Linked DNA regions of Mytilus edulis. The protein of the gene in region 2 purifies or fractionates together with the protein of the main gene of each other region. This does not show direct contact. Links are inferred from orthologs where the notes say so. Each region holds a gene or a part of one and is shown on either strand. Other genes may lie near its edges.

Evidence for each region.
Region 1: the proteins of nucleolar protein 56-like (region 2) and ribosome biogenesis regulatory protein homolog purify together in Homo sapiens (co-immunoprecipitation; 3 studies listed by BioGRID and IntAct, with this or other methods). This does not show direct contact. The link is inferred for Mytilus edulis from reciprocal best matches to the Homo sapiens genes NOP56 and RRS1.

Annotation. Positions count from the first base shown.
Region 1 is NC_092352.1:17,452,369-17,460,220, reverse strand, and holds the start of ribosome biogenesis regulatory protein homolog, read right to left. Parts: upstream 3,009-7,852; 5' UTR 2,970-3,008; coding exon 2,818-2,969; intron 1-2,817. Other genes in the region: rho GTPase-activating protein 44-like, read left to right, coding at 3,181-3,251. UniProt on the Homo sapiens protein: Involved in ribosomal large subunit assembly. May regulate the localization of the 5S RNP/5S ribonucleoprotein particle to the nucleolus.
Region 2 is NC_092347.1:5,497,064-5,504,574, reverse strand, and holds the start of nucleolar protein 56-like, read right to left. Parts: upstream 3,029-7,511; 5' UTR 2,935-3,028; coding exon 2,932-2,934; intron 696-2,931; coding exon 488-695; intron 1-487. Other genes in the region: polycomb group RING finger protein 1-like, read left to right, coding at 5,131-5,472, 6,094-6,198, 7,013-7,154. UniProt on the Homo sapiens protein: Involved in the early to middle stages of 60S ribosomal subunit biogenesis. Required for the biogenesis of box C/D snoRNAs such U3, U8 and U14 snoRNAs. Part of the small subunit (SSU) processome, first precursor of the small eukaryotic ribosomal subunit.

The DNA of each region.
Region 1 (7,852 bases), on a different chromosome or scaffold from region 2:
TTAAAATCTTTCACATAAACTAATTAATTCAAATAAAATAGACACTTAAGTGTTTAAAAAGTGGTCAAAATCTTTCGTCAGATGAACATGAAATTTGAGGCCAAATTCGGTCCTTACCGGACCTACTCCTTTTGTATCGAGATTCAGATTGATTTATAAATACTTAATAAAAAGGTGGGCAAGCAAGACAAAAAGAGTTATAAGTCGAGTAGAAAACCTTAAATGTAAATGGAGGACACAGATTATTTTAAAAAAAAATGGAAGCGAGAATTTCAGACATCGTGGATATCAGATTGCCCCTGGCTATGGAAATTTGGGGAAAAAATTAAGTTTTTGTCTTATTTATAGATGAAAGATCAACATTATTTGTTGTCAAAGTGGTAAAAGAAGGGACGCTTTAATTGCCCATCAAGACAATAATAAATAATCAAGAAAAAAACAAGTGTGTCAGTTGAGAGAAACACTACAAAATTAATAGTTTATCTATTATTTAGTTTACATTTCTTCAATCACTGTCCTCAAATTTAGTATATGTACCTACTGGCTACAATTTTTATTCAAAAACTGCTGTAATATTGTCCTTTACATGTCATTTCATTGGTTGGTTTGCTGTTAGGTTTCAGGCTGTCCTATTGATGTTAACCCATTTCCTACTTTCCTAATTTTTTACACATGCATATAAACAAATAGATTTCATTTGTTTGTGATGCACAACAGTGCTAGTCTAAGTTAGAATCATATATTAGCTAACAAGAAATACTTCAATATTTATTGGGATCATCAGGGCAAGTAAATTTTTTTACGGACAAGTAAAATTTTAGGTTTCACTTGCCCTGGGACAAGTGCTCACAACAAATATTTCCACACCCCTGCCTCATTGTCAAAATTAGTTTTTGTTTTTCTACCCACTGCCATTTTTGTTAGCAATTATGAATAATTAATCTGTAGGCGTATTGTATTATAATCCAAAGGGTACTCCTGATTACATTTTCCAAGCCCTGAGGGATATCAACTAAAGATCACTTATTACTTGTACAGGTAGATCGACACACCTGAGTGACATGAGAACTCTTGATGAAGATAGACAAGATATTACCTCTACCTACACACTCAATATAATTGGCTTTAAAACTTTTTTTAAATTATTTAAGGTTCATCAAAATACAGACAAACTGATGCATCTAAGAAAGTTTTCAGGCATGGCAGGGCCTAGATATATAAAAGTTACATTGTTTACAGGTGTCTATCGTCAATATATTGTCCATTTAAATCAATACTACTCACAACATCGATTATATGAGGGGAGTTTCTCAAACTTTTTACCAACTTAGTTTATTTTTGCACCTGCTGCAGGAATGAAAAAAGAATGAAGAGCAAAATCCAGAAAAGTTTATAATTTTCTGAACCATAAAAATGCATTTAAAATTTAATTATCTAGGTCCAGCCATGACTTAGGTGCACAGGTGTGTCTATACTCAGAGTAAAATTTGTGGTGTAAATACAGCCATTTTAGCCAAAAGGTTATGATGAACCTTAATTCTTGGCTAATTGGTGATTACGCCAGGTGTTGAAGATTAGTTTCAAGTATTGGTGACATCAATGCATGTGGCAGAAGACTTAAGGTAGATCATAGGTAGTGTTCCAGCTAGGATTTTAAAAGGGCAGGGTTCCAATCCTGAAAAAGGGCATTTAACAAGTGATATGATATCATAATATGAAAAGGGCATGTTTTAATAAAGATATTAATCAAACATTGTGTTTATTTGTTGAAATCACTGGTTATACAAGAACGACATCATAAGCCCATATAGAACTTCTACTGTGAAATCTGTCTAAATATGAGAAAATAAAGGGTGGCAGGTAGGTGAAACTTACATAAATGAAGAGATAAATGAAAAATGAACAGATTGATTGATGCCCGTTTTATATAATTCCAAGGCCACCAGTCTGCACCAGAAGCGACGAAGTAGCGCATCTATTTGGGTAACACAATGACCGAATAACACATGTAATGACCGAATAACACTTAAAATTTTAATATAAGAACATATTGGTGACTTTTAAACATTGATTATTTAATGATAATATATTATCGATGTATTTTATAACTTTAAAATGATTTACAGACAGCAGATAAGTGCATAAAGATAATTTTTAATTTCGTGTGTACATCGATCATGGCGGCCATTGTGATTTCCGTGGTCACCATATTGGATGTACACACTAAATTTTAAAAGTTTTTTGAGAACTTTTCTGCTTTCTATAAATCATTTTTAAGTAACAAAATACATCGATAATGTACTAATATTTAATAATCAATGTTTAAAAGTCACAAATATGTTGCTAATATTAAAATTTCAAGTGTTATTCGGTCATTACAAGTGTTATTCGGATATTAACAGTGTTATTCAGTCATTCGAGGTACCGCATCTATTTTGGGTGGGCAAATATCCACTTTTTGATATGAGACGAGCTCTGACGTCCCACGGCCCCAGCTTGTCTGCCAAAACAGCCGTTATATGTCAGAGTAATCTCGGACTAATATGCGGTTTGCAATCGGTGATGAAATTTAGATTTACCGTCTAATTAATATTAGTTCATGCATTTTGTTAAGTTATTTTAATGTTATGTTGCATATTTAAGTTGTTTTGTTGTTTGTTTTTATGTTCTGTGGTATTCTGTGGTGTTCTGTCGTAAAAAGACACTCCGACTTTTGACCATAGAATATAAACATGATACAAGAACAAGTTAGTCTGTTCATGCATGTAAGTGTTAGTGTTACTGAGTTACTTTTGAAAATTATGGAGGTCCTCTTACTTTTGTAATTTAAAATCAATAGGATTTGTGTCACACACAAGGAGATTTCCTTCATCTATAATGACATCAATCTCTTTTTCAACTTCTATAGTTTTAAACTTTGATTCCTTTTCAGCTGCTTCTCTCAAAACTTTTTCCACGAGGTCTGCCATCTTCTGTTTACATCCAACGATAAATAATAGACTAACACTGATTAGTCAATTGAAAAAGTTTAAACCAATCAAAACAGTTTTTACAAAATATTTCTCCCGGAAGTATATTGCAGAATCAATTTCCTACACAACATTGACGGACTGCAATCATGAACCCTACATAAATTAGTTATATTTTATCCCTAAATGCTTAGGCATTAGTACTATCAAAATGTTTAAGCCAGAGAATCTTCGCAAGAATTTTATGAGAGCGAAACAACTCGCTGATCAAAATTTAGGAAGGTGAGTTAGATTATAAATAAAATGACAATTATTTATTTTTACCATTCTTAACACTGAAATTATAGCCTAGATCTATCTGTATCTGTAATGTGCCATGCTATAAAATAAAGAATAAGCGAAGATCAGTATTTAAAACAGACATGTTCCCATGTGAGCTTTAGAAAAAATTAGGCGAATTATTTGGCAAATTGAATTCTTATAATTCACAATTAGCACTGCTGTCATTAGGGAATTGTGATAAAGTACCTTCAAAACAACCATTATTTCTAGTGTATCCTGAAAAATGACGATCATGAAGATGCTTGATGAACTCTATAAGGGTAGGGATACAGGCAATCCCCCTGGTAAATGACGTCATAAAGGTGCTTATGATTATCGAACATTTCCGGATAAGGGCATACATTTAACTTGAAAATTGTCTATTGATAATCATATGGTGCAGGCGTTATCAGTTAGGTCTAATAAAACTATATATGTGGATCCAGTTACCCTAGCTAACTGTGTAAACCTCTTTAAATAAAGAATTATTATTATTATTATAATTAGTTTAAACCCAGACCCTAGAACTTATTTCATTTCTAAAAAATAAAGTTTCAAACAATCAAATTTTGAGAAATGTGAATTGAAATAATAGACCACAGTTCAATGCATTTCTGTCAAATTTTTGGTTTTAGTAAACATCATTCATGCGTTTAGGGGCTTCTTCACTTCTGTTCCAATGTTGAGCGAGTGGTTGGACAACTACAAAGCTACCCGGTATATTGCACGAATTATTCTGCAAATTGAACTCTCATAATTGTCTTTCAGCACTGCTGTCCTTAGTGAATAGTGATTATATATATATCCTGCACAATGAAGATCACTAAGATACTTGATGTATGTTTATAGTGCAGAGATACAGGTTGTCCCCTTTATCTGGTAAATGACGTCATAAAAGCGCGCATAATTGACAAGTTTTTCACGGTGACAGACATACTCAAAAGTGGTCTTTTAAATTCACTGACACAGACTGTGATCTGAATTTTTATCAGAAGTATTCACAATGGCTAAAATGTAACATATCTGTTTATATTTATACAACCAAACCAATGGAAAATTACGAAATGTATAATATATGAATTGGTGAATTATAGCATATTGTTGTCTGTCTGTCTGTTACAACATGTCGGACATTAACTCAAAAACGCTTCAACCAATTTGAATAAAACTTTGGTGAATTGTTTATATATATTGACGTAATCTCCCTTTTTTTTTTTTTTTTATAAATTTTAGATTTTACGCTTCCGAGTTGTGGGGTTTATTCATCCAAAAAGGGGGATTTTTCAGTTTACAGGGTTTTATTAATTAAAAAAGGGGGGATTTTCCAGATAATAACTAAAAAATGCTTTGCAGCAGTTCTCATGAAACTTTGATAGTTAATATATATCTGTTGACGTAAGCTCCCTTTTGGTTTTTATAGATTTTACATTTTACATTTCCGAGTTATTGGGTTTTATTAATTGTAACCAGAAACATAGGGGCATACAGCCCTAGGCTTCCCTCCATCCATCATGTGGGTGTGTCAGTTTTGTGAGTGCTCTCATGTACAAATTTTTTGAAATTCATTTCAAAGGGTATTAGGAACAATGTCTTGAAGTTCAAAATACAATCAAAGTGTACATGTAGAAATGACCATGCAGATTTTTTTTTAGTTTCAAGCTTTTGTGTGCTTCAACAAAATGTGTTGCTGTCAAGAATTTAACAACCTTATAAAATTTCAGAAATGCGTTCAATTAGGGATGACATCAAAAGATCAATGAAGGATAAAAAACATAATTCAAATAGTTTGGGGGTGGGGTCAAAATTGCTGCAAGTTTTGTTTAATTGACATTGATTTTACATATATATATCCTTATTGTTTAATCAATTTTTACAAATTAAGTTAAGAGAAGGGTAGGGGGAGGGGGGTCAGTGAAAAAACTATATGAATTTAAAAGTGTTTTATCCTACATTGAACTTTTGATGTGGTACCTTACAATATTTTATTTTATTCATTCACACTGCATAGTCTAGCAGTCAAATATCATTTACTATAATTACTCAACTGCAGTAAAGCTAATTTAGCTGCTAAAGGCCAATAGAAAACTCATCAGAAATTACTATACCATATATACACATGTAGCTAGGACTCTGAAAAGATTATAGTGAAATCTAATTGAACTTCAAAACCAGATTTTAGTGTGTTTTGTTTTACTCTCAGTAATTAACTCAAACCTAATATTGTTTATAAAAATTAAAGTGATGACAGTCCTGAGTTAAAAATACAGGTATTAAATTTAATAAAAATTATGTTTACAAATTAAAAGTTGACTCACCCCACAAAACACAAACCATTTTCATAAGATTAAAGTTTTCGCCTTATTTTTATGAATAATTATGTTTTTTGTCCAATACTCTATCTGTCAATGTGCATATGATGTGGTATTGAATGAGTATATGTACATATGTGCTCATGGTAGATCAGATGTCTTATCCTGAGCATTCCTTTGGCTCAATGTCATGTCGCAAAAATACTTTTTTTGGTCTAAAAATATTTCAGTCAAGTTTCATTAAAAAAAAATAAGAACATCAAATACTTAAAGTAAATATAAGTATTACACTATTATAAAAATTAAGTGTCAATAAATGTATATTGTATTAAAAATTTTCGGAAAAAATAGTTTACAATCAATGGCAGATAATTATATTGAATTTATATAACAGTTTGTTTTTTTTGCCTGATTTTTCAAGAAAATGAATTTTAGGTTAAGATATTATTAAATGTAATGCATACCAGGACTGACTCTTAAAATTCTTGAAATCTTTTGCATATATATACATCATAACTTGAATACATCTTTGAAATAAAGAAAAATTATGAAATTTCTCGCATACAATTCAGCATGTTTATGAGTGTAGACAGATTTTCATGAGTCCTGGAGAACCCAGAATTAAGAGCTAGAAATCAATGATTATGAAGATCAATCAACTGGCCTTAAATATATACTGCTAAATGTTTGTTTGATATACAGATAAATTTTCAATCTTCTAAAGTGAATTTGCATTTATATGTGAATTAATGACTGAAGGGAAGTGTAAAAAAGGGGTGTATATTAAAAGATAGGTCACTACAATGTATGACCTGTACATTTGTATATTAAGCTTCATTGAAATATTCTAGATTTTGCATACATTTTGAGTTTATTTTTTAGATACATTTGTACATGTACATTGTACAGTAGTAAGAAACCTATGGTGATATAGTACAACTGTATGTACTATCATGGTCAAACATGAATTGAAGTTATGTTCAGTTTTTTGTTTACATATTAATTACGTTTCCATTATATTAGATTTAGATGGAGTAGACAGATGTCTATTTTTCATAAACATTTGTTTTTATTGTAACACACCAGTATCTTGTCAAGATCTGATAAAAACTACTGTATTTTATTAGTAACAAATCTATAATTAGATAAACAGAATGATTCAGAATACAGATTCATTATCAGATTTCCTGTTTTCATTCTTATGATTTTATGAAATTTGATTTATTTCAGGACTTTCTATTGTTTCATAAATGGTGTATGTTGCATTTCTCCTTAAGTCTACACTTCCCTTAATGGTACAATGTATTTCCTTAATGTTCATGAGCATGTGACTCAATCAAAAGGTTGAAGAAATTAATGTTAGAGAGGATTTACCAGTAATATATTGATAAAGAACACTATGTTCTTAATTACTACACCAAAATTGAATAGATAAACATAACAAAAAATAATCTTATTTATTGAGTCCTAGATTATTTATCCAAATATCCATCCCAAATACTGTAATTTAAAAGCTACAAAGCTGAAGTTTGGTTAACTATATAGCATGCATTGTAGTTATAGTGATGTACATCTAAGAGTTGTGGATAAATATGATTAACTAATAGCTAAATATTATTTGTGAAATTTTTAGATAAAATTAGGGAAATATTTCTTATACAAAATTAATCATTTATCAAAAAGAAAATATAGGTTATCAACAAAATCAATAAGAATATTGTGTTTCTCATCATTCATTTTAGTTTTTTCTAATAACAGTTACTTTATAAAAAATATATTCACAGGAAAAAGAACAATTAAAATTTCCCATGATAGATTTTATCATAGTGAGATGAAGTACTTCCAAAGTAGAGAGAGTACTTAAATGATGAGATATATACACAAGGACTGTAATTGACTGGTTCCTTCCATATTATGTAAATAATCACACGCCCATAATTTGTCTTATCAGGAAATCTTGTTAAATGTAAGCATAGATATGATGTGTGCACTGAGAGTGCACTCACAAAAACAATCTAACAGCTAGATAATAAACAACGATCAAAATTTATAGTTTAATTTTTTGGTTTCTATAGACTTGAAGATATTTTCACTTGATGGTAGACATAGTGGGAGGCAATGTTTACAAGTTTTATGTGAACTTTTGTACCCTTTTTTAAATTCACATTTAATGTGGATAGTATTTTAAACATATAATATATTCAATGGATTGTACTTTAAAGTTTAGTTAAATTTATTGCTATTTATTTCTTG
Region 2 (7,511 bases):
TCTCGCATTTATCTAAACTGGGGAAATCCCTCTGACGTGTTTCTAAATTTATAAAAACACTAAATATTAATACTGCTCAATTTTGATTTTCCGTGTTGTTAAAAACACGCATATAAGTCAAGGGAAATATTAAACATGAAGATTATGAGAAGAACATTACAGGAAAGTTGTTTATGTTCATTTTTTTGCTTCTTTTTACCATTTAAAGCAAGACAATCATAAGAATCTGAGATGTTGCTGAATGTTTAGAATAAAACGGTTGACGTGAGGGAATGAGCCCTGAGTCAACTGTAAAAGTCTACAGATTGCTTGAAAGCAATCGTATCCCAAAAATAGAAAAGGTAAAAACATTAATTTGTTTTGTATAATAAAAAAGAACAAAGAAGGTTAAACTATTTAACTTAGATGTATAAATTTATGCTGAAATATGTAAACTTTAAAGAACTGAAAAATACATCATAAATTTGGCAAAATTTCTAATGTTTACCTTCTGAAACACTATTAATGTTGTCCAATGCATTGGTACCACTTTTGAATGGTGAGAAAGCCACTAGTTTGACAACAGACTGGAACTTGCTGAGATCTGTTACACATTTCTCTACCTGACTCTGTAATACTGATACCTCTTCAAATTCTTTCACTCTGAACAGAGCATACCCTGACGCATGTTCATACAAAATAAACAATACTTGAGCCTGAAAAGATAAAACTTTTTACAATAATTTATTATTTATACTACATTAATACATGTAATAGTCAGGATTTTAAATGATTTTCATATGTCCATCTTATATATATATCTAAAAATTTTGTAAGATGTTCTGTGATTGCTGTTGTCCAAGTTTCATAAGTTTCCATGAAAGTTTACTAATTAACTTGCCAAATACATTTAATCTCAGACTGTCTATGAATATTTACTGTAAAAAACTAAGTCCATCTACCTAAAAACTATATTCTTAAAAGTTTGCTTTGGATACTATCTCTAAATCATTAAAAATCTTCTGCCAGTTTTATTGAACATTACACAAAGTAATTGATGTGCAACAAACACTCTAGACTGTACATTGTATCTACTTGATAAAGTCGTATGAGCCGCAAAATTAAACTAAATTGATGCACATGTTTTTTTATAACTAAATGGATAGTTTTCATTATATAAATTTTGCTCTGATTTAAACTGTATTTTTGTTATACACTAGCTTCTGTCCAGATTTCAAGATGACATGAAAGTAAGACAATGTAATTCAACTTCGACTTCATTACTCGTCAAAATCCATACAGGACATATAATAATGAGGATGTCTTACAAAAACTTGAACCACAGACTGAACCTAAATGTTGATTCCACTGATGACAGAATTAAGATTGGCTATATTTGGTGATATCAGGTTTGTTTGAGCCCAGTACTTTCACACCCTACACGTTTGCGTCCAAGGTACATCTGCCCCTACATGTTCACACCCAATTTTTAATATTTTCCAGTTGAATAGTTAAAATTTATATGTATATTTACACCATAAAACAAAAGTTTCCTGAATAAAATTGGTGAATTACTATATATGAAATGTCGTTTTTATTAATTTGAAGATTACCTATTAAATTTTACTTATGTATAATAATTGCTAATTGGTATTTATACACAGCTATTGTATGTTTAATAATCATGATGAATTGTTGTTTGAACTTGCTTTGATGTAAAAAACAAAAACAAAAACATCAAAAACTAGATGTTGACATAATGTCACTCTATTTAGAACCAATGATTTTTTTTTTTTTTTTTATTAATTTTACAGCAAAGCATACACTAACCAAAACACTATTTAAGATTTATTCAGCATTAAAAAAAAACCGCAAGAATCTCACTTTATTTTGAAACATAAAAAAAGCTACCAGTAACCAAAACTTGATTAAGATTTATTCAACACAAAAAAAAACCAGTGAGATTAGAGAACCACTTTTTATCTGAAACAATGAAGAAAAATATTTACATATTATATACACAAGTTAACCAAACTTGATTGATTACAAAATTATTAATCACAAACCAATAAAAAGGGTGCAAAGACTTAGGGCATGAACATGTGGGGTGCGAAAGTAAAAGAGTGTGAATGTCAATGTGAATGGGTGTGAATATGTATGTACATGCTGCAAGTAAGTGGTTCATGTATGGTGAGATACAAAGAAAAATAAATAAATAATGCAGGCTTTTTCAAAAATGATAGGTCTCCCACATTTAATATCAAAATTTTTTGTTTTCAATCAGGTTTGAACCAATCAAATATAAGGCAGCAACCATTTGATTTTCGGGGGGGGGGGGGGGGGGGGGCTATGGTTTTTTTTTCTGGACAAATTTTTTTTCGACAAGTCGAAAACAATTTTGTTCTTTCAATTTTATCATTACATATAGTGGCAGCTGAGGGTGAAACAAACATTTTTTTTTTCTCAGAATCAAAAACAAATTATTTTTTTCTCCAAAAACTGGAAACAAACTTTTTTTTCCACAAAAAACCATAGCCCCCCATGAAAAATCAAATGGTTGCTGCCTAAGGGAACGACCAGAACCAAATCAAATTGGTGACAGCCAACCCCCCTCCAACCCCTCAATTAAATATATATTTTTTTTCGCTATGTCAATGTACAGAAACACTCCAACAGTATACATCTATAACGCGTCAGTGAAAAACAACCATATCGTACATGTATACCAGCTGATGGTATGCTTTTAAACTGCGCTCAAAATAAATCAGACCACATGTCCAGTCGGCATGTGCTGATAATTTCAATAAATCTATGGAAAATAGCACAGTCTAAGCATTGACATTTTGGAATCGAAGATTGCCTATGCAAAGTTTTGTACTTAAACATGTTATGTATAAAATAAGATAATTAGATTTGTGCATGTACTCAAAAAGTTAAAAGCCACGTGCTCACCATCTTTACAAACAATTTTCGCCATTCACTAAGAATAGTCCTTATCTTAAATGATTTTTCATTGGTTCTTTTCACACAGATCTCAGGAAATGGCCAATAAGGAGAGGTCTTACAAACCCTGTGATAGGCGGAAGTTTACAATGGCGTCTGCATTTAAAAAGTCAGTTACAAAATGCAACTTTTCCGTGTTTTAAGGTTAAACAACAGTCGTAAGGTTGGTTATGGGGTAAAACATAAAACAAGAATGACCAGATTAATGAATAGCAATACCACAAAATTCTAATAATAAGGAGATATGCATGAACTATTCATCAGACTAAAGAGAAGAGTGCTGATTTTCTAAATTTTAATTTTTACTTAGAACATCATCATGTAGATGTAATCAGCTAACAGTATATTTCAATATATATATACCTGATGTAATAAAAAATAAGAAACGAATTGAAGTACCGCACAACCTTAATCACAGGAATTAAAGTTATACCTTAAAACTATAAAAAGTTCTGCTATCCCAATGGAGTGCTCAAATTCGCATACAAATTCGGCCCAAACACCTTATCGCTATTTGTCTGTCATTACTGGAGATCACACAGGTTTCTGTAAAATTTTGATGTCCTAAAACAAAATATCTGACGCCGCAATCATGGCAATGGAAAAGTGATTGTTGTATGCGTCAAAAGTTCAAGTGGCCGGGTCAGCGGGTTTTAGCGATAAGGTGTTTTAATTTGACACCCCTTGGTATGGTCATCACTATCTCTAGCTGCAGAACCGTAGCTCATAGGTCCTAAAAAAGTAAAAAAATAGCATAAGTACTAGTCCAAATAATTATGACCTCTTGAAAGGCTATTATAAGACGTCATAATTATTTGGACTACATAAGTACCTATGAGCTAGCATCAGGTCTGTTTAACAGCTTGTGACAAGTTTGATAGCTGTTAGGAAACTTCTGTCTTTCTGTTACAAGTCTTAGAGTTGAATGACTTAATTATATAAAATCAGCTCATCATGACATTATTCATGATTCACAGGGTGTGAACATGTCAGGTGAGAATGTGAAAGAGAACATGCATTTGGGTGAACAGACTCAGGTTCGATAACAGATTGGGAACAAAACCCCCTATATCAAACTTAAGAACATAAGTAATCTGATCTTAATAATATTGCACTTGTTTTGCAAGGAAGATGTCATGCTGATACTCGCAAATGCAAACTTGAATGGGCTTTGCTCATTGTTGAAGGCTGTATGGTGACCTATAGTTGTTAATTTCTGTGTCATTTTGGTCTCTTGTGGAGAGTTGTCTCATTGGCAATCATAGCACATCTTCTTTTTTTATATTGAATACTTACATGTACCTTGAAGTGAATTTATTCACCTGTCACAATAATGAAAGAGGGACGAAATATACCAGAGGGACAGTCAAACTCATAAATTGAAAATAAACTGACAACACTTGGCTAAAATTGAAAGAAGACTAACAGACAAACAATAAAACACATGACATAACATAGAAAACTAAAGAATAAGCGACATGAACGCCACCAAAAACTAGAGGTGATCTAAGGTGCTCTGGAAGGGTAAGCAGATGTGTCCACATGTGGCACCTGTCGTGTTGCTTATGTTTTAAAAAATCCGGTAATTTAGCCTAATTCGGTAGGTCATATTCATGAAAGGGATGAGGATTGTAGTTAGGACTTACATGACTTAAAGAACATATCCGATATCATTTGTGAAACCGTTATTCCATAACGGTCAACCAACGTGTGATGGCTTTCATAAAATTTACGAAGGGATGATTTCAACTTCACCATTTGGAACTCGTGGTTTAAAAGCTTCCTTGTAGCAGCAACCCTCTATCAAGGAAATCATGATGGGAAATGCAATGCAATAAACCATCGTAAACTAACCATCATACCTTAGTAAAATATTGATCTATATGTATATTTCAATCATTCTACCAAACAAAAATTACACAAGATAGAGAAGACTATTAGGGGAGGAATATATTTATGTCTAGAAACAGACATGAACAAATTGTAGCTACATATACCATGAATTATGCAATTATATCTACCATTAAAAAAAAATATGCTATAAATCATAATATGAATGATTAAGATTGTTGTTCATAATTTACATTAGTATGGTTTATAAATAAAATATAATTGATGCATTTATAAGTTAATATTTGTTTCAGTTCAATGGAAACTTGTGAAACCTCATCAGAGATAAAGGAACAATGTGAAGGAAAATTGTGCTGTGTTTTGTGTGCTAAAAATGAAGAACATATAGTGAATGAAGAAAAGATATCACTTCATTGTCTCCCAGGGACTGATGATGACAGAAGTGAAGTATGGTTAGGGAAAATAAAACAAGCAAAACCAGATGTTCTCATAACCGACCATACAAGACTATGCAACTTACATTTTGAAGACAATATTTGTGATAATGATTCAGTACCCACTATACTTTGTGTAGATTCAATTGAACAAAAAGACAATGCAAAGGATGAAAAGGTTGATGAAAATTTAAATACTACAGAGGTAAAGTATGGACATTTAATATAAGCTTATCTTAGCTGTTTAAATATAACTTCTTTTTTCTTTAACTTACATGTACCTTGGATAGGAACAATTGCAATAGAATAACAAAATATTTCATCTGTTTTCTGCGCTTTGGTAGGGTTGTTGTCACTTTGATATATTCTTCATTTCCATTCTCAATTTTATTCATTTTAAGTAAATAGTTTACATGAGTCATGAGATCTCTTGGCAATATTTTTGTTGAACTAGAATTTTTTTTGCACTGTTATGAACATGTTAAACTTTAATTATCAATTAACAAATGATTAATAATTCATTAGATGTGTCATAATAAACAATTTGGAAATTAGTATGGCGTTCATTATCACTGAACTAGTATATATTTGTTTAGGGGCCAGTTGAAGGACGCCTCCGGGTGCGGGAATTTCTCACTACATTGAAGACCTGTTGGTGACCTTCTGCTGTTGTTTTTTTTCTATGGTCAGGTTGTTGTCTCTTTGGCACATTCCCCATTTCCATTCTCAATTTTATTGAATACGATGTGTTTTTTAAGAAGATAAACAGTATAAATCTTAGTATATAGACTGGATATTATAAAAGTTGTTAATGTGAATTTTTCAGAGCAATCTCAACAATGAAGACACAGAACAACCATCTTGTAGTACAGTCCTTAACAACAGCCAGTCGGAGGAAAAACCAGAAACAAAATTATCTTTGAAAGAACAGGTGGTTAAATCATAATTTTTGTTGTTGATATAGTCAGATTTACCATATAAAATTTGGTTTCAGTAATATGTTGTAATATTGTTAAAGAACTATTTTTATGCCTTGGCCATAGTAGAGGGGGCATTAAGTTGAACCCTTGTCCGTATTTCATCGTCCTGAAATTGATTTACGTTCTCTAACTTTAGTTTGCCTCAACCAAATGTTATGATACTTATACACAATGCTTATTACGACAAAACACATATCAAATTTGAATTTTGTTTGTGTCAGTTTAAATTTCTAGTGTTATGCTCTTTTACAAATTAAAAACTGCTGAATATTTCGTTTCGGCTCTCTCACTTTAGTTTGCCTCAACCAAATGATTATGAATCTTTTACACAATGATTATTACCAAAAAACACAGATCAAGTTTGAATTTTGCTGGCGTCACTTTTACCCTTCTAGAGTTATGTCCCAAAAAATTAAAAACTGCTGAATTTTTTCATTTCGGTTCTCTTACTTAATTTTGCCTCAACCAAATGTTATTAAACTTGTACACAATCCTTATTACCACAAATATCAGATCAAGTAAGAATTTTGTTGGGTCACTTTTATCGTTCTGGAGTTATTTCTTTATGATTAGGTCAGTTTGAGATAAAACATTTAATTGAAGTCAATGATATCTTGTATGAAATTGTTTAAGCATTTACAACTTCTCATTTTCATAGAGATTATTTTGTATCTAAAGTGAGACATAACATGATTGTTACAATAAATTAATACTATGGATGCTCAATTAGATATTTGAAATTTTTATCATAACTTTTATTTTTAGCTAGCTCAAATTCCAGTATGTCCAAGTTTAAGTAAGGAACCAGTGAGTGTGAGATTGTGTGCTATAAATACTTACATCACATGTGCCTTGTGTGGTGGATACCTGTATGAAGCTTCAACCATTACAGAATGCATGCATACGTGTAAGCTCATTTATGTTTATTACTTATCTATTTAAATGATGTGTATTTTTTAATTGATGATTACATTCAAATCATTTTTAAACTTTCTATAACATGCATCTGATCATCAGTGAACATTTTCTTTAGGTCACCATTTTCTAAAAGATCAACAGTTTGATAAATTTTGTTTCTTTATTATGAGTTCTTTTTCTGTTTTAACCATTGAACACCATGAAAAATAAAAAAAAGTTGTGTAATGATTGTTAATGAGACAACTATCCACCAGAATGGCAGAGATCAAATAACTGAGATTCAAGCAACTAATTGTCATTTTCCACTTTCAAAGAACAAGCAAAACCAATAATGTATAGTAAGCTA